Schizosaccharomyces pombe: one gene and its partner. The protein of the gene in region 1 binds, or shares a complex with, the protein of each later gene. Each region holds a gene or a part of one and is shown on either strand. Other genes may lie near its edges. The genes, in order: rkr1 and rqc2.

What was found.
Region 2: rkr1 (region 1) and rqc2 share a complex: the UniProt entries of both Schizosaccharomyces pombe proteins name them as parts of the ribosome quality control complex.

Annotation. Positions count from the first base shown.
Region 1 is NC_003423.3:2,421,659-2,432,580, forward strand, and holds rkr1 (ubiquitin-protein ligase E3), read left to right. Parts: upstream 1-4,863; 5' UTR 4,864-4,908; coding exon 4,909-4,937; intron 4,938-5,126; coding exon 5,127-9,930; 3' UTR 9,931-10,064; downstream 10,065-10,922. Other genes in the region: BAR adaptor protein Hob1, read right to left, coding at 1-600; cysteine desulfurase Nfs1, read left to right, coding at 1,102-2,607; bdc1 (bromodomain-containing protein 1), read right to left, coding at 2,916-3,815; SPOM_SPBC21D10.08C (uncharacterized protein), read left to right, coding at 10,484-10,569, 10,620-10,922. UniProt on the Schizosaccharomyces pombe protein: E3 ubiquitin-protein ligase component of the ribosome quality control complex (RQC), a ribosome-associated complex that mediates ubiquitination and extraction of incompletely synthesized nascent chains for proteasomal degradation.
Region 2 is NC_003421.2:1,322,455-1,331,495, forward strand, and holds rqc2 (ribosome quality control complex subunit Rqc2), read right to left. Parts: upstream 5,920-9,041; 5' UTR 5,854-5,919; coding exon 5,722-5,853; intron 5,677-5,721; coding exon 2,743-5,676; 3' UTR 2,603-2,742; downstream 1-2,602. Other genes in the region: prohibitin Phb2, read left to right, coding at 1,390-1,693, 1,901-2,167, 2,224-2,292, 2,342-2,568; histone deacetylase, Sirtuin family, NAD-dependent Hst2, read left to right, coding at 6,644-6,722, 6,780-7,156, 7,224-7,766. UniProt on the Schizosaccharomyces pombe protein: Key component of the ribosome quality control complex (RQC), a ribosome-associated complex that mediates the extraction of incompletely synthesized nascent chains from stalled ribosomes as well as their ubiquitin-mediated proteasomal degradation.

The DNA of each region.
Region 1 (10,922 bases):
CATTTCATTATAATATTCATATTCTTGGGAAGATTGTTCAAAGGCGGTTTCAGCTTCATAAAGCTTCTTCTCATCTTTAAGGCTTTTATCCTTCTTTTCCTGAAGTTTCTTGAAAGATGAACGATGACGATCATAATCCAGCTGCTTATGATCGCGTTTCAACAAAAGCTTATCTACATCCTTAACAATCTTGAGCAGTTCACCAGTTGGATTGACAATGCGAGTGTTGATAACATCCATTTCAGAAGCCAAATTCTTTTGGAGATCGTATACAATTTCCTTGTAAGCCTCGGCAGCCTCAATACCTTCCGCATTGCCTTCTTGCTCATACGATTCAGGATCCGAAGCACGCCCACTAATAGGCTTGTAAATTTCAATACAAGCATCGGCAAATCCAATTTGATGATTCAATAACCCATTAATAGCATCAGTATACTTTTTGGCGTCTTCAGCCAGCTTTTTCGCTTCCGTTTCTAAAGACTTAAACCGTCTTCCAGCATCCTCATAAATAGGATCTTTGGTAATCTCTCCAACATTAAACTTGCTGCGTAGAGTCTGCGGCGTACGCGCAAGTGCCTTTGTAAACCCTTTCCAGCTCATCAAGTAATTCTGGTAGTTGGTATGTCTGACCCTTTCAAATTCCCTTAACCATCCTTCTCCGTATTCACGTAGCATACTTCGCAGCAATGCTGATCGTTTCCTGTAATTGTGCCGAATCGCAAATACAGTATACTACGCAACGTCTCGTTATTTTTATTTTTATTTTTATCTAGATGAGGTGAAAACATAGTAAATATAAGGCAAACATTTGATTTTAATTTGCTCGTCTCTATGCTCTTTATTACAGTTTTTATTCGATTGAACAGTGTCTCCGTCGTTTACGATGCAATGATAACATACTGATAATTGCGCAGCTCTACATGTATTGGGTCGAAGCTTAGTTTTGGTTGGTTTCAGATACGCCGCCAACCAAAATTTTTATTAGTCAGATCGCAAAATTTGAACTTAGCAACTGCCAAATTATTTTAAAAAGGACTTGTTTCTTGTTGTTTAGGAAATAAATAAAGAATTAGCAAAATTTCCTCTATTTTGGAAACAACCATGTCCAAAATGGGAAGTTTGATGCTTTCTAGAGCAAGATGCCTTCTTGAACTACGAAGTGCTTTATTTTTTGTCAAGCGAGAGAGTCAGGATATTAATAATGTTAGACAGAGTCTTGGAGTTTACGGTAGGTCGTTTATGACTTCCAGTCGTATGGACAAACCTTCAATGAGCAATAAACCTCGTGAACAAATGTACGGGCTAGGAAACATGACGGCGGTTCAAGAGCCCATACCGGAAAATTCTTTGAAAACAGTAACTTTGGATCAAGCACAAACCGCTGCTAGTACGGTTACGGGATTGCATCCTATATATATGGATTTTCAAGCTACCTCTCCTCTCGACTATCGTGTACTAGATAGTATGCTTCCCTTCTTCACTGGAATTTATGGAAACCCACATAGTCGAACACACGCCTATGGCTGGGAAGCAGAAAAAGCTGTTGAAAATGCACGCCAAGAGATAGCATCTGTAATCAATGCTGATCCAAGAGAAATTATTTTTACATCTGGCGCAACTGAATCAAATAATGCTATTTTGAAAGGTGTTGCCCGATTTTACAAAAGTAGGAAAAAGCATCTTGTTTCCGTTCAAACTGAGCACAAATGCGTTTTGGATTCCTTACGTGCTCTCCAAGAAGAAGGGTTTGAAGTTACTTTTCTACCTGTTCAAACTAATGGCCTTATTAATTTGGATGAATTACGTGACGCCATACGTCCTGATACTGTTTGTGTAAGTGTAATGGCCGTCAATAATGAAATTGGTGTTTGTCAACCACTAGAAGAGATTGGCAAAATTTGTCGACAGAAGAAGGTTTTCTTTCACTCAGATGCTGCTCAAGGATATGGAAAAATTGACATTGACGTCAATCGAATGAACATTGATTTAATGTCTATTTCTGCTCACAAAATTTACGGCCCTAAAGGAATTGGAGCCGCTTATGTTAGAAGACGTCCTCGTGTACGTTTAGAGCCGCTTATTAGTGGTGGAGGTCAGGAACGAGGTTTACGAAGTGGTACTCTTGCTCCATCTCAAGTAGTGGGATTTGGTACTGCGGCCCGTATATGCAAAGAAGAAATGAAGTATGATTATGCACATATTTCCAAACTATCCCAAAGATTAATAGATGGCCTTCTTGCAATCCCATATACATCTTTGAATGGCGACCCTAAATCTAGATATCCAGGTTGTGTCAACATTTCTTTCAATTATGTAGAAGGGGAATCGTTGCTTATGGGTTTGAAAAATATCGCGCTGTCTTCTGGTTCTGCCTGCACATCCGCATCTCTAGAACCGTCTTACGTTTTGCGTGCAATTGGTCAGAGTGATGAAAATGCTCACAGTTCTATTCGTTTTGGTATTGGCCGATTTACAACTGAAGCCGAAATTGATTATGCTATTGAAAATGTGAGTAGACAAGTTTCTTTCTTAAGGAATATGAGCCCGTTATGGGATTTGGTTCAGGAGGGTGTCGATCTTAGTACTATAGAATGGAGTCAACATTGAAGAACGCTTAATTTTACCTATTGAAGATTTTATTTTTTTTTTATATGAACGTATGGAAGTTGAAACTTTTTACCAGCTGTTATATAGTTACAAAAAACTAAATTGTAAATTATCTCATACTTGATTTGAATCTATACGAAATAAATACACGGTTATGATATAAAAAAAAACATAAATTTGATAAAAATAAAATATAGTACCATTTAAAAAATATGTACCCCCAAGTCGTCAAAATTATAGCCAAAAAATGATATGAATCCAAAGCATAAACAAAAAATGTTAAGGAATATAATTAAAATGTAAAACACTCATTGAGAACGGGTACTTGCCTGACGATAAATATCGAAAAGCTCTTCTGTGTAGCGAAAACATTCATCTCCCCATATGGACATGGCGTTGGCTGGATCGCTGCCATTGTACATTTTACAATTAGCAAAGATTCGAAGAACTTCTCGATACAATTCATCCACTTCCGTGATGTTACCCTCTTTGATCATATTCTTCAATGTTCGTAAGTCTTGAGGTTTATAAACTAAAGAATCGTAATCTGGTGCCTCTTTACGATTTACAGGATGACTAAAAGGTGCTCCAAACCTGTGATTAGAAATATTGTCGAGCATAGGAAGCATTGCACTTTGGAACTTTTTCAAAGACTGCTTTTCTTCATTAGACAGGGCAGCGCGCTTTTTTGGAGTCTTAGTTGTGGGTGCAACTTCGGGTTCGATATTTGCAGGAGCTGCAATCTCTGGTGTTTTCTTTCTAGAACGAAGAGATTTATTAGCAGCCTCTACAGGAGCTTCAGTTTTCGCTTTTTTTGCTTCCTTGTCAGCTTCTTCAAGTGCGAGTTGATCCTCCACAGCTTTTGCCTTTGCCTTTGCAACCTCTTCATATAAGCTTTCCAGTTTTTTTTCACATCCCTGTATCTCTTCAGCCAAATCCTTTAGGACATCGTTCCGCAGCCTTTTTCGTAGATTTTTTCGAGCATCATTATCGTTTTGAGAAACTTGGTTGGAGAGAAGCTTTGAATCAGATTTATTGCTATCATGCATCCATTCCTCGACCAGATCCTTTAATTGATCTTGTTCAATTGGCTCTAAAAGCAGGCTGCTTTCTGCCGTTCGATTGAAGAGTTCTTCGTTGGGAGCATTAGGATTTTCTTGCTGAATATCAAGATATTGTAAAACAGCAACCTCTTGAGCAATATTCATTATGCACTATACTTGCATCATCTCCACTAATTTTACAAGACAAGACACGGTAGAAAGGGAGTCCTTCTTTTCGTAGTGTACTACCTCCTTCATACGGCGTGCGCGTAAAACCTAAATTCTCGTTAGAGATTGCTGTAAAACTTCATTAACGCAACAATGCTAAATAATTTACGTTAGTTGCCAACCTTACACATGTTGCATATCTTAATAATTCAATGTCTTAGTTTGAAGACTTCTATAGAATTGCAGTTTGTCAAATTGTAATTGATTCCTATGATACCAGTGAATTATGTTCTATAAACCTTTTGCGTAAAATCTTTAAATTTTGCTGGATAGTCACATCATACTAACCAAGTTTCCAACGTTTTCTGTAACTAACGCAATATTGAACAGATCGCAATAAAAATCATCGTATTTTTACTGCATCCTTAAATTAGATAAGGTATTTTGTAGATGACACCGTTTGATAAGTTACTTTAAATAAGTTTTGCGATTGCAATTAAAGAATCTGATATGTAAGCTACGCAGTTTGGTATCTGATTTAAGGATACGTAGAACTGCGGTGAGTTTTCCTTGTGATCTATTATATTACAATACACAGGTTGTATAAGTAGCAACTGAGTATAGGTATTGTATTAACTGGGTTATAATGTTACCTATCACTAATATAGCTCATAACTGAACTGAGGAACGAGGTTCAGCAGTAGCTCTATTTATAGTATTCAGATAATATTGATCTTAATAGATTATCATTAAGATCAATCTCCATATCGTATCATACATGGTACGATATATAATTAGAACATGTGACATATAGTGATACGCAACGTAGTGTATCATAGCGTAGTGTAGTATTGCTGACATGATATACAGTTTAGCAAGCTACTTAATTCCTTTTCCGTCATCACAAATAGTTAAGCTTTAAAGTATCAGTTTATAAAGCATTGCATACCACAATGAATTGCTTAAAACAACGTTATCAATAACCTATGATAACGTCGGACAGACTGATATCTGATTTCCTTTGTAATTTTTCATTCTTTGTGCCAAATTGATCCGCTGCATTCCATTGCATTGTAAACTAAAAAAAAAGATGAAAAAAAAATCTACGGATTTATACGGGTAAGTAAAGATGTGAGAAGATGGTAACAAAATGGGTTTGCACACAAAATAGGGTCTTTCTCATTGGATATATGCAGAACACCTATGTTATTACAAATCCATACTTTTCCATATTTTGGGGAAGTTTGTTTAAAAATACAACGATTCTTTTTTCTTTATGTATGTGCCGAAATGCTAATCTCTTTATAGCCGTAAAAATCCCGGGATGCAATCGATGTCAGGATCGTTTTCATCCTTGCAAATTGCGTTGGATGAGTCCAGCTCAAATTTTAGTACGATATATGAGCCTCCAGACTTGTCTGGTTTAGACGCAGAAATGATTGTTATTGTGAAGAATTTGCAAAAGCGTGACATCGTAACGAAATGTCGAGCTTTACAAGATTTAATTCAGTGGAATGACCCATCACAGTTTGACAATGAACAGTTTCTAAATGCTTTGGCAGTTTTATTTCCTCGACTATCTATAGAAGTGGAACGACATGTGCGGTTAAAAATCTTTGTCTTCATGTCTGTTCTATCTTCTGCGCTTCAAAAAAAACTTGCACCATGGCTCAAATTCTATATCACACCTTGGGTTATGGGTTTTTTTGATTCAGATCGTGCAGTCTCTGTATCAGCAAAAGACTCTTTTAAAAATTTACTCTCCGAAGAAAAGTGGCCCCATGTTTGGCTGAAGTTTGGATCTACTATCGCACCTATAGTCACTGATGTTTTTTTACATGAAGACAAAGAATCGTTAACGGATTTGCGTTTTTTTTCAAATGAAGAAGCTGAATCGAAAGTTACCAGAGTTAAATCTAGCTGTCTTCTGACCCTTTCTTTTCTTTTCAAACAGACTGCCGATTTAGAAAATCTAGAGACAGATAAGAAGATAGATAAGCAAACCTTTAAGTCATCTCTTTACGAGAACTTGTCTACACTTTTCAAGTCTGACGAATTTTGGTCTTTGGTTTCCTCACCTCAGGATGGTGTCACAGTGAGCCTGAGCGATTTATTGCTCATTATCTTGAAGTATGATAAACCTTTTGTTACCCAATATAAAGAGAAATATTTTAAACGTGTTTCACGAATGATTTCACGACTAACTAGTTTGACCTGCGTCCCTATGCTTAGGCTTCTTAGTAACATGATTTCTAATTTCCCCAACGAGGTTCACCAATTTGCAAATGATTCAAAACGTCCTCTTTCAAAGTTGTTCTCAAATTTGATCACCAAGCGAATCAGCCTTCCTAATTCTGGGTTTTACACATCCTTGCTGAATTTGTTTAAAAGTATAGGCGCTATGCAGCTCGTTCCTTCCATTGAAAGTGTAGACGAATTGTGTGATGCATTCTTAGAAACTGCAAATCAAGAACAACGTTTCCTATCTACTGAAGTTTATGACTGTTTACTCAATTTCTTGTCATTTGTTTATACCGATTCTTCCGATCCTCAAATTAAGGATCATGTCCGTGACCGTTTAAGGACTATATTTACCAGGTATTTTAAAGGTGAATTTGTTCTACGCTGTTCAACGTCTGATTTCGATCATTGCTTGCAAAGTGTATTCGATAAAAATTCAGATTTCGCCTCGCTCTGGAACGAAGTGTTATTTGGTTTCTTTAATGATGAATCTATGGACATTGAAACTATCCCATTTGATTCTTTATCACGTAACTTAAGCTTAACCGTTCAAACAGTTTTATATCTTAAAAATAGAAATTTTCAAACTGGAAATGAAGTCATGTCGATTCTGGGACCTTGTTTGTCATTTTTAATGAAATTGTCTACCCACAAAAATGAACGTATTGCATGTTTATCGGCATCCCAGTTAATAACTGTTTGTCACATATTCAGTGATACTACATTGATTAAACCCGTTAAGGAACTTTTTCAAAAATATTTGGTGAATGATTTGCCTTCTTCGATTTTAAAGCTTGGGCCTCAATCTCCAGCCTTTACTTTGCTTCGTGATATTCTTTTACTTCTTAAAGATTACGCGGATCTCTCTGAGCCTTGGGAAAATGTTGCTAATCAATTCACAGTGTCCTTTGATGAACTGGAAAATATTAGGGTTTTAAATAGTCTTCCCTCTTTGTTTGCTGATGGAAAACTAAGGGGGAAAATTTCCTTGGTAAAAACATTAGTAGAATACTATGATACAGCAGTATTTGCTATTATGCAAAACCCAGGAAACGATTGGGATATGATAAGAGCGTGCATTGGGTCTAAGGAAATCCTTGTTCCAGAAGAAACGATTAAAAATATTTTGTTTACGACCTTGGAGTATTTTCTTACGAATGATTGGGTTGATAATCATTTGATTATTTTGTGCGCATCATTGCATTCTCTGAAAGCTCATCTTCCAACAATATTTGATGAAAATAAATCCTTGTATTCTTTGCTTCCTGTGATCCTTTTCAGTAAACCAGAAGATGATGGCCATGTTGCAGCTCATTTTGAAAGTATCTTCTCCCTATTGAAAGAGAAAGCATTAGAAGATTCCGGTTTTTCTCTTAAACTATGTTCAGAAGTGCAGGAATGGTCATTGAATAAGGTTTTGAATGGTTCTATAAATGAAAAGTTAGCTGCTGATAAGTGTGTTCTTGTTTTCAATTCGTTTGGAAAACTCCCTTCAAACTTCTTTACGTTTCCTGCCTCTTTTTGGGATGCAAAAATATCCTCTTGCATTCCTTTTTTCTCTAACAAGTTGTTCATTGACCAAGATTTTATTCTCGGATTTCTAGATTTAGTTGCCTCAGAGCCCATAAATGTTGATATGACAGACGTAGGTACTCAATTTGTGCATATATTCCATGCCTCCTTATACACTTTATATTATGTTGAAACTACCGGATGCGACGGTGATGCTTTATTTAACCTTACGTTTGCTTATTTGTTAATACGAATTTATTTACAAAATGGCATACAAAGCATAATTGATGTTCCCATCCGAGATGCTGGAATATTTGTGGAATCTTTTGAATGCTACTTCAAAGGTGAAGTGGTTAAATTTATGCGCGATAAGGATGCTTTGACAGTATTAAATGAGCTTTTAATTGATGATATAGATGGGAAAATGCCTGTATTGTTTAAAAGATTTAAAAATTTGTCATCTGCAGAGAATACTACTTCTTTTTCTATATTTGCCGCTCAAGGGTTAACAGATTTTTTGATTGTTGTCTCAAATTTGTTAGAAATGGATGAGAAACACGTTGATGTTGTTTTAGGAAAGCTGGGCTTGAGCTCTTCAAAATCCCCTATTTTCGTATCTTCTATTTTAGAAGGATTGAAGCCATTAGAAGTAGATTCTGAAATTATTCAACGAATTCGTTTTAAAGCAGTAAACGATCTAACAGGTAAACTTCACTCTGCTAATGAAGTTTCTAAGTCTCTGTTGATTTTGAATGCGGCTACCACTCAACAGATTACTGAGAAGCCCCTTCTTCCTATCACAAGATGCAGACTTTTTTTGGAAAATATTACCAATTGGTGTTCTGAAAGTGGAATTAAATCTTTAGAGCTATTACCTGTTTGTTGCTTTCTTCGTTTCATGTACTATTTTTTACCCACTGTTTTTTCGTTATCTGGTTCTTATTGGAATAGCATTTTCGATTATATTAAATATGCTATGAAGATGTCTGTAGTGGATGCCCCAATAGTAAAATCGTTTGAACTATTTGCTCTTCGACTTTATAATGCTTTATCCAAGAACTATGAAATGAACTCTGATATTAAAGATTGTATTGTTGAGTCTAATGAATCCATGAATTATCTTTTGTTGAAACGATTTCTCTTTACTCACGAATCTACCCTGAGAAACTCGGTAACCGCACGTATGTGTAACCAATATTTGGTGAAGCTTTTAGAAAACTGTCCAGGGAAGGTTGTTCGCAGTTTTCAATATCAAGAGTTTTTTCCATCGTTGTGTAACTCGAATGATTTGCAAATGGAGTCTGTTTGTATGAAATTTTTACGCGAAAAATTAAGTCATGAGCTTAAGGAACTTACTGTTTACTACATGGTTGAAAGTGATTACGAACCTGATGTTTCATTATGCCCAGAACTTCTATCTCTCGCTATTGATTTTCCTGGAGATCCGTTTGTAATGGTAAGCAAAATGGAGAAATATGAACATGCGTTGCGTGTGTATCTTTTAGTTTGGGATCTTATCTTTTATCATTTTGAGGAAACCACTTACAATATAAAGCTGTCAATTATTAACCAACTTCATGCTATGGATTTATTACGTCCTTTGCTTAATACTTTAGTTGAAATTCTTAATTTATCATATGACAGGCCAATTAACGTTGATAAGTATCCCAAAATTGATTACAACCTTATGGATTATTCCTCTGCTACAGATCGTATTCGATGTCTTGCAATTCATATCTATTATCAATGTCTTAGACATCTTTCTTCTTCTGTTAGAAGTTATTGGTCTGAAGTTAAGAATAGAGCCTTCACTTCTACTGTTGAATCGTTTACAGGGTACAATGTTTCCCCGCTGTTGATTTCTGCTTCCTTAGACGATGTGGAGAGATCAATTGAATCCGAAGATTTTCAATCTGTTGGTGATGTTAATGTGAAAGTTAACAGAAACACCAGAGAGATATCTTTCATCTATAATGTTGATGAGCACAAACTGGAAATGGCCATCAAAATTCCCTCTGTATATCCCCTACAAAATGTTCAAGTAGAAGGAATAGAAAGAGTCGGTGTTAACGAACGACAATGGCGCTCATGGATTTTGGCTTCTCAAAGTATCTTATCATCGCAAAATGGCTCTATCACTGATGCGTTACTAGTTTTGAAGAAGAATATATCCATGCACTTTGAAGGCGTTGAAGAATGTGCTATTTGCTATTCTGTCTTGTCTGTGGAGCGTACTTTGCCAAATAAACGATGTGGAACATGTAGGCACAAATTCCACGCATCATGTTTATACAAATGGTTCAAATCTTCAAATTCAAGCCGCTGTCCACTGTGCCGCAGCAGCTTTACATTTGTTTAGGCACTTTAAAAAAAAATTGGTATTTTAATGGTGTGATATCTTTGGTTCTTTTTTTTTATGATACATTATAATGAAGTTTAGTGTTATTTAGTTACTAGTGAATGAATGTGTCTGTTTTGTTTTGATCGTTAAAAGTTTATACGAGTTTAGTGTTTGTTTGTATGCAAAGTCGATTACCTGATTTGAGTTTTATTGTAGCTAAAGTCGAAAATTTAAATGTCCATTGCTTGAATAGAATGTGAAAATGAGAACTTTAATAACGACTGAAGTAAACAAATAATTTCTCAATAAAATTCCATATAACTGATTTAAAAAATGTAAGTTATTTAAGATATTTAAAGAAACTTATAGTATAACAAGGTTTTTGTTATTGTTTGTGTTTGGTAGATTAGTGTACGCAATGATTCGAGTGTTTACTTGCTAGGAGCTATAAGAATAAACAGCTAGTAAAAAACCGATATCATTTGTTATGACACAACAACTACACCTGGTTTGTTTTAAACTTTTATTCAAGACGAATCCTACTAGAACAACGCACATTAATAACAGTAAAATGAGCAACGTGGAACAACCGTTTATGCAAGGAATAGATGATGGGTGGAATTTAAAAAACTACCTAAACATTCAATCCACATCTCTGTAAGCATTGCAAACTTTAATTACTAGAGAGAATATACTAACCTGCAAAGTTGTTTAGATAAACTTTGCAATATCTATACTCAAGGTCAAGATGAGAATGAGGATGCAAAAGAATTGCAAGCCATCAAAATCAAAATAGAGTGGTGTAAAGATACAAGCGTTTTGCTTTCCTCTATATGTGTGATGCTCCTTGATTCAATCCACGATTTTCTAGTACAACAAGGAAAGATCACTAAAGAATCAATAAGCAAAAGAGATTATAGTCATGAAATTACAATTTTTAACTTCAAATACGCTCAACAAGAGATGCAAAATGAAAAGCTTTATCATTTTGCGAAGCTTCTTGAACCCGC
Region 2 (9,041 bases), on another chromosome or scaffold:
CTACTGTTATTTGAAAGTGAAAAGAATTACTCGTATTTAGTACAGGTTTGTGCCAGGTAGACGTAACAGCTAAAATAAATGCTAAGTAATTTATGATGACTTTTATCTCAAACGAGCTGAAAGATTGAATATATTCTTCCGAGGTTTATTTGACGTTACCTTTTTACTTTGCTTGTTCAAACGTACAATATTTTCAAATCTCCTCGGGAGGCCTTATCTTTAATATAGTCCTTATAAAGTTGGCTATTTTCTTTTATGTATATATTACTTCTGAGCTTGCGCTAAGATGGATGATGCTTCATTTATGCAGCTTTTGTTCAAAATACATGTTATAACAATAAAGCTTCTTTTTGATCCTTAGATATACTTCAAAAAATTAGTCTAATAATTATAATACTACTAAATATCATGTATACATTTTTTGACTATTATAATTCATATTACTATGTTTCTCGTTTATACCAATCACTATTGTGACCAAGGGCCTATGTCTTTTTATTTTTACTTTTATTTATTTTTTTTTTTTAATTATGTCTCGTAGAGTATCGATTGCAGATATTTTTATTTATTGTAAACAAAACAAAGCCCGTCTATACATTAAATCGAAAGAAGGTTTACAAAGAAAATTAAAAGTAAAAGAATTACTAGAAAAATTCATTTATGTGTGCTTTTGCACCAAAAGATAGTAAATAAGAAAATGCAAAACAAATTTCGGTTTCATATTAAATATTGTAACATTGTTGCAATATTCTATTGTCTTAGCATACCTTTTATAAAATTCAATCATAGAATGCTGTTAAACGTACAATGCAAATGTAATTGATAACTTATATTTTTGAGTCCCCGATGGCTTTTCTTCGTTTATTTATCAGACAGTTGATTAATTACAGTTTTTTTTGTTTCAAAAAATAAAACAAAATAACAGGTATGGGAAAAAATATTTTTGTTTAGATTTTAAATGCACATCGTTCACCGTTTATTGAAAAAGCAAGTTTTAAAATTAAAACGTCAATACCTTTTTGTTTGTAATTAGAAAAAAAATATAAATCATATAATGAATGAAGTTTAGTAAGTTTCAACTTGTTCGCGAAATAAAACGACGCACCTCACATTTTCTATCAAGGCTGCACACTACAAAGCGATAAAAATAGCAGTATTCAATTCCTGCTAATTTTATATTATAATATCAATAAAATAAAAGAAAATTATGAAAAAAACTATCGAGTTATTTGTTTTTTTTTTGCATATAAAACAACATTAATCCAACTCAAATACCGTACTATGATACAATACGATAAAATGGATAAGGTATACTGAAGTGCCATTTTAAATGCTTACTTATACGTATTCATTTTACAAGTCTTTCTTTCCCGTATACAGCTTTTCAGTATGAATCGTCAAAGACCGTTCCAGCAGATGAATGATTTGATGAAGCGGGGACTTCCTAAAGGAAAATATGCTTTTACAGGAACTGGTTTGTTGTTAGCTCTTGGCCTTGCAGGATTTGCTGTGCAGACTTCTCTTTTTAACGTTGATGGTGGTCACCGAGCTATTAAGTATAGCAGGATTGGAGGAATTAAAAACCTTATATATCCTGAAGGAACCCACTTCTTGATTCCTTGGATCGAAACGGCCATTGATTACGATGTTCGTGCTAAACCACGAAATATATCTTCTCTAACCGGAACGAAAGGTAGGTTACAAGAATTAAAACGTTGAGCGTACATAACTAAAGGTGACTGTAAGAAACATTCATTTGGTTTTTATACCTACTGTGAATTAAGCTTTTAGTTGCAAAGTGATGAATTGTGTTTATGGATTCTACTCTTCTCGAATAGCTAAGCTTTGAGGGGTTTTTGTTGGTTGTATTACTAGAAATATGTTAACCATTTTTCTTTAGATTTACAAATGGTGAACATTAATTGTCGTGTTTTGTCTCGTCCCGATGTTCATGCTTTGCCAAAAATTTATCGTACTTTAGGTGGTGATTATGATGAACGTGTTTTGCCCTCTATTGTTAATGAAGTCTTAAAAAGCGTTGTAGCTCAATTTAATGCAAGCCAGTTGATCACCCAGCGTGAACGTGTATCTAGGTTGGTTCGCGAGAATTTAATGAAGAGAGCAGCCCGATTCAATATTTTGCTTGATGATGTCTCACTTACTCATGGTATGACTAACATTAGTCAAGCGTTTGTACCTTAAAATACTAACTGCATCCAATAGTTCAATTCTCTCCTGAATTTACAGCCGCTGTAGAGGCCAAGCAAATTGCCCAGCAAGATGCTCAAAGAGGTATGGTTCAGCTCTTCGTACAAATTCAATATTAACAATAATTTTTTAGCTACTTTCTATGTCGATCGTGCTCGAATGGAAAAACAGGGCTTTATTGTTCGTGCTCAAGGTGAAGGTAGAGCAGCGCAACTAATTGGTGAAGCTATTAAAAATAAGCCTGGTTTCATCGAGTTAAGAAAGCTTGAAACTGCTCGTGAAATTGCAAACATTCTTTCAAAGAGCAATAACAAGGTCATGCTTAATGCCAGCACATTACTTTTAGATGATATTAAATGAAGTCTAATGTAGGAATTGTCATTTTATTAATAAACAAATTTAACTTTTTGATACAAAATTCTCTTTGAAAACCATAATATTCGCTGATTTCTTCAATTTCTGTTTAAAAAAACAAAAACAAAAACAAAATCAAACAGTGAAGTAGCTCCAACTATTAATCTCAAATAAATATTTTCATTTCTTTGACTTTTTGGTATTACCGCTAGATCCAAAAACCATCTTTAAACGACTCACACTTATAGGAGCAACAATTTCACCGTCTTTAAGGTTTTCAAGATAAGCAGCTTCTTTTGATGACTTGGGAAGTTTTTTCATGAAGTAGGCGATTGATTCCCTTGCCGCTTTCCCAACTTTTCCAGTTCCAGGCATGACTTTTACCTTCTGGTTAAATTTAGTCATAGCATTGTATGGGGCAAATGTCGGAACAGCGTTTATCACAGTATCCTGCTGTTGAGGATTAGGGGTTAAAGAATCAATTGCAAAAAATATTTCTTCGAATAAACTCCTCGGCATCTCTTGTCTTTGAAAACTTTCAACCTTCGCATGCTTTTTTTCGTCTCTCTGTTCAGTAGACAAACCTTTTTCATTCTCAGCTTCACTGTTACGACTTTGGTCTTCAATTACTTCTGCACTAATGGGCTCGGAGACGCCATCTTCTTCAATCTCTGATTCGGCAGTGGGTGTTTGAACGTTTGATGAATCATTAGAAGGAATTTGAGACGAAATTTCCATTTCTCGAGCCGCATGCTTCTTCTTAGCCTTTTTTTGTTTTAAAATTGCCAAAATAGTTTGTGGGTCTGTAGCATCCTCTATTGAAATAGGTGCTTTAAGAGATTCCTCCAAAGCAGTTTGCCTTCTAGCGCGACGTGCTTCACGCCTTTCTTTGGCAGATACTTTCTTAGCTGTTATAACTTTAGAACCTTTTTTACCACGCTTTTCGCTGACAATATGGATGTCTGAACCAGTGGTATCAGGAGTACTTTGATTGTTGGTGTCCTCATTGTAACTGACTTCAGACACAACATCTTGAATGTTATCTTCAGAAGTTACCGAAGTACCTTCCATTTTAAGTTCCGACACCTTTCCTTGAGTTTCAACAACCTCCATTTCTAACCTTCTAGCTTTGCGACGCTCAGAACTTTTTTCATCTAACTGCCATAATATTCCATATCCCATAATGAGGACAGTAGGAGGTAAATAGTTTTTTTTGGCCCGAATAGCAAAACTTCCTGTTGGAAGAATTTCACCTGTTGGAGCAAGTTTCGATACCTCATCAATTCGAACCCACCATGCACTGATTACGGTCTTTGAATCCCATGCTTTAGATGAAGCCAAAGCCAAGGATCCAGCTTGTTGTAGAGTATTAGGGGGAATAGGATCATGAGGATTTTTGTTTTTTACAATAATTATCGAAGACTTTGGCAAATCTGCACAAACAAAGATATCACCTGTGTTGCAATACTTTTGGAAAAGTAATTCATTTTGCTGGGCATCACGGCCTCCCAGAACTAGATAACCTTCCGAAGAAATAAACCAATGAAACTTTTCAAAAAAGAATGTCTTTCTACCAAGGAGAATACGTTGTGTATCTGCAGTAGTAGAGCGCTTCAAATCCTGTTCAATCTTGCGTTGGGTGCTTTTCAGGGCTTTTGAGGCTGCCTCCGCAGTCTTTGTTTCTTTAATTAAAGCTTCTCGACGTAATTCATACTGTTTACGCGCATTTGCAAAGGCGCCAAGAGATAAATCCAATTCAACGGCAATAAACTTTGACGAAACTTTTCCTTCCTTCACTTTATTATCATCATCAGAATCATCCAAATCATCATCGCTGGTTTCTGAACTTTCATCAGAATTATCTACAGACTCTGGATTAGGAAGAAAAACGGTAACGGCGTTTTTTATAAGTTTAAGGGGAATTTGAATAGCAGCAGCTACCGGACTTCTTCTTTTTTGAGATTGAATTAACTTTTCAATATCTAACCAATCCATTCCTTGGTTCAACAGAGAGTTAATGTATGAGATAATAGCCTCAACAAGTTCAGGGTTCATCTCAATTGCCTGAGCCCTCAACGCACAAGTAGCTTGGGCATCTTGTAAACTTTGAAGTTTTCGTGCTTGATCCTCTTTAGCCGATTCAAGCCTTCGCTCAGCTGTCGCTAGGCGATCATGTGCTCGTTTTTTTAGCTTTTGTGCTTCGATAGAAGAGAAAAACTCGTCAACGCATTCGTTATAGGTTGGAAACTCCATGCACTTTCTGTTTGCCTGAACGAGCTGTAAAGGCTGAAAAGGGTGAAAATCTTCGTATAATGTAGTACATTCTTCAGGGTGTTGAGGATCAGCAGCATTTGTTAGTGCTTGCTCCAGTGAAAATATATAACCCTTTACTGGGGGCTTATTAACTGCAGCTAATATGGAGTCGGCTTCTTGAAAAGCAGCTAATAAATCGTTTTTCTTGGTTTCGTCTGCACAGAGCTGGCAAGCAGGGAATAGTGGATCTAATTTTGAACGCCGAAGACAGTGCTCTATAAGTGCATTACCATATTCACCTAATCTTATAGTCAATGCTTTTCTAAGAGAAACTGGTTTGGGTACTTTAATCGGCTTTGTAGAAGAGGATAGTTGTTGGTCAGGTAAAGGTTCGTTAATAGAAGTAGGAGAAGCATAAGCAGTGCTTATTTCATCCAAAAGGATATTTAATCGTTCAGCTGTCATATGAGGAATAGTAGACTGAGATTTATTGTCATTAACGAGATTATTTTTGTCTAAATTGTACTTTTGCCCTACGGCATAAACTTGGTCTTTATCGAAGGTGACCACTCGTAAAAGAGACAGAATCTTGTAATGGCCGTCTAATAGTAAAACATTTCCAGCAGCGAAAAATTCACAAACCAGATAGTACGTCCAATCGGGGTCTTGATCATTCGCACCACCTCCAAATGTGAAAACGAGTACTCGATCAGTACCCAACTGAGAGACACCAGTTAACCTTCTAGATTTTATATGTTTTCGTAGCTTCGTTACAAACCCAGACAAAGGGGCATTTTCTCGATCAAATTTTGTTAAATGAGCACGAAACCCACTTTCAATAACAATAGAATATTTTGCATCCTTTAACGGGTTAGTAAAAAAATATTTATTACTTTCTACACATACTTGTTTACCAAACTTCAACAAGAAGGTACGCGCATTTAGATCATAAAAGTTATTCAAGCGACACCCAACCACTTGTTCTCGTAATTCCGCAGCAATCGCAGCAATATCTAAAGCGGAAAATCTTTGCTTCATTTACGTCTATAACACCTATCTAAATGAATTTCTGCGTTACAACAAAATGAAGTATAGGCTCTAGTTAGAATGTAAACATGTGTATAACGTAAGTGAAACTGAAGCACTAACAAAGCGCAATGATATCCGCAATATGTAATAAGGAAAATTATAGCACACCATTGCACCATAAAACGGTGTACATTAGCAGCATTAAAATTCTTAGCGCAAATTTGGATTGTTCTCTCAAATTCATTATTTCTTTCCCGACGATGATTCTTTAATCGTACATTTATAGTCGTACATGACACTGATTATAAAGATAAAAAATAGTTAACTAATGATAAACTTATAAAAAACTTTGACACCTAATATGTCAAACTGGTGTGACCAACCCAATAAGTAAAACCAGAAAGTCAAGAGTTATCGTTGCTGAATCTAATCAAGTGAGCCGAAAGTTGATTAATCATAATTTCTGATTACCCCGTATCTCATTTTTTCAACGACATCCAGAAACTCTTAATTGAAAAAGATGGCTCTAAATGTTTACCAAATAACGAGTACTAAAGTCGAATACAATAGCCTTTTAAACAGTATAATGCAGTTTAATGGAGCATCGGTAATGGCGTTTGATATTTTCAACGAGTAAATAATAATGGAAATTTGGCGTACCCACAAACTTTGTGCATTAACATATTGATTTGTTCATATCTGAGAATTTTAAGTGATCCAATTTTTGAAAGAGTTTGAGTTGGGATTTTTAAGGTAAATCGATTATTGGCTTGCTTTGGTTGTTCTCAGAAATTCGACAATGGTGAAAAACACTGTTAAACACGTCGACTCTTCCAAGCATTTAGAGAAAGTTGCATCCTTAATCAAAGAAGGAAAAGGTAATGACTTTTAATTTTCTTTCCTTGACCATACTAATGCGATTTTATCGAAAATAGTAAAGAAAATATGTGTTATGGTTGGTGCAGGGATCAGCACTGCAGCAGGAATCCCTGATTTTCGAAGCCCTGAGACTGGAATTTACAATAATTTACAAAGATTTAATCTTCCTTACGCAGAAGCTGTTTTTGATCTATCTTATTTTCGAAAAAATCCGCGTCCATTCTACGAATTGGCTCACGAATTGATGCCTGAAAAGTATAGACCAACTTATACTCATTATTTTATACGCCTTTTACATGATAAAAGGTTACTACAAAAATGTTATACCCAAAATATTGATACCTTGGAGCGTTTGGCAGGTGTGCCTGACAAAGCTCTGATTGAAGCACATGGCTCTTTCCAATACAGCCGCTGTATTGAATGTTACGAAATGGTAAGGATTGTTTTTGAAAAAGTTAAAGTGAAAAAGCAGAAATTGGTTTTACTGACGGAAAACAAAGGCGGAAACGGAGTATGTTAGAGCATGTATTATGCAAAAACAGGTCCCTAAATGCAACAGTTGCAAAGGTCTCATCAAACCAATGATTGTGTTTTATGGCGAGGGATTACCAATGCGTTTCTTCGAGCACATGGAAAAGGACACAAAAGTCTGTGATATGGCACTGGTAATTGGAACAAGTTTACTTGTTCATCCATTCGCGGATTTGCCTGAAATAGTGCCAAATAAATGTCAACGAGTTTTGATTAATCGAGAACCAGCTGGCGACTTTGGGGAGAGAAAAAAGGATATCATGATATTGGGGGATTGTGATTCCCAAGTACGTGCGTTATGTAAACTATTAGGATGGTCTGATGAATTGGAAAAGTTGATTGATACGAGTGTTGAAACGCTGACAGAAGAAATATCTTTACTTTCTGTTGACTCTACAATAGAAAAGAATGCCTCTGAACAAAAGAAAGACGATAACTCGGTCAATCCTTTCACTAAAATAGAGGAGAAGAAAAAAGACGAGGTGACGCTGTTAGTTTCTGATGATGAATAGTTCAGTTATTCGGGAAATTTTCTATATTGTCATGATTAAAACTAGGAGATCCCTATATTTATTATACTAAGAAAACGGAAATTCACGATTCGGTTTGATGAATATTTGAATCTACACATACGATTCGTTTTCTTTTAAACAAGTTTAAATACTTTTTTTTATTTCAGCAATTTTATAATATTTCCTTCCAGGCGTCCTTTTGATTGCCTCTTAACCATGAATCATATTGCTCTCTTTATGAGTTGTATGCTGGGTTAAACTAATGCGAAAAGGATAACAAAAAGGGGGTTCTGTATACGATCTCGATCAAACTCATGAAGATGCCCTCGCATTTTCGTGAAAATAACTTGCATTTTTTTTAAAATTGGCGTCCATCTATATACGCAATTTGGGTTATGAGAAAGTTGCGCTAGAATAATTGATAATGGTTTCAAATTTACTGCACTGTAATCTAATACAATCTTTGTCGAAACCTTTTTTCTGTTCAGTTTGGAACATATAGTTCTGAAATGGGAGATTATTCATTTTCATTTAATAAAACTTTGAATTATCCAAGAATTGGAAATAGGAATAATTAATCAAATTGTTCTTTTTGTAGTTTCATTCAAGAATAATGCTTCCTTTGAAAAACTAAAGCGTTTTCTACGAATTGTATATTGTAACAGGGGACGGTGTATAAACCAGTTAGTCCATCATCATAACCAGTTCTGATTTGAATTTTGTTCTTGTGGTCATTATTGTTCATAAAATGAACTAGAGATGTAAAGACATAATTCATATTACAGAAAACAAGTATCTAAGCGCTTGAACAATTATCAGTTAATTTTAGAACAATTATTAAATTTATATCTATTTTATCTGCATATATCTATGTACCTTTGGGTAACTTATGAGTTGTACGAATTACTGACTACATGGCTGTCACCTCCTGTTCGGTTTGCTAAGAATTTACCGATTCTAACGCTTCCTTCTACCTAGCTATACAAGATTCATGAATTTGATCTATATGAATGCTTAGCAAATAAATAATTGTTCGAAAGCCAGATATATGATTTATAATTAACGTTTTTAGATTTGACGTCAATAGGGATCTTAGGTCTCAATTTCTTTGTTTTGCCATCTTTTTATACAGGCGTGTTAAGCGGTCTGGAAAGAATTTAAAAATAAAAGGGAATGATAAATCGTGTTATCGTTGCAATTGATCAATTCTTATCATTTTAAGAACTACTCACTTTTTTACAGTAGTTAATAAAAGTTCATTTGTAATCTTTATCT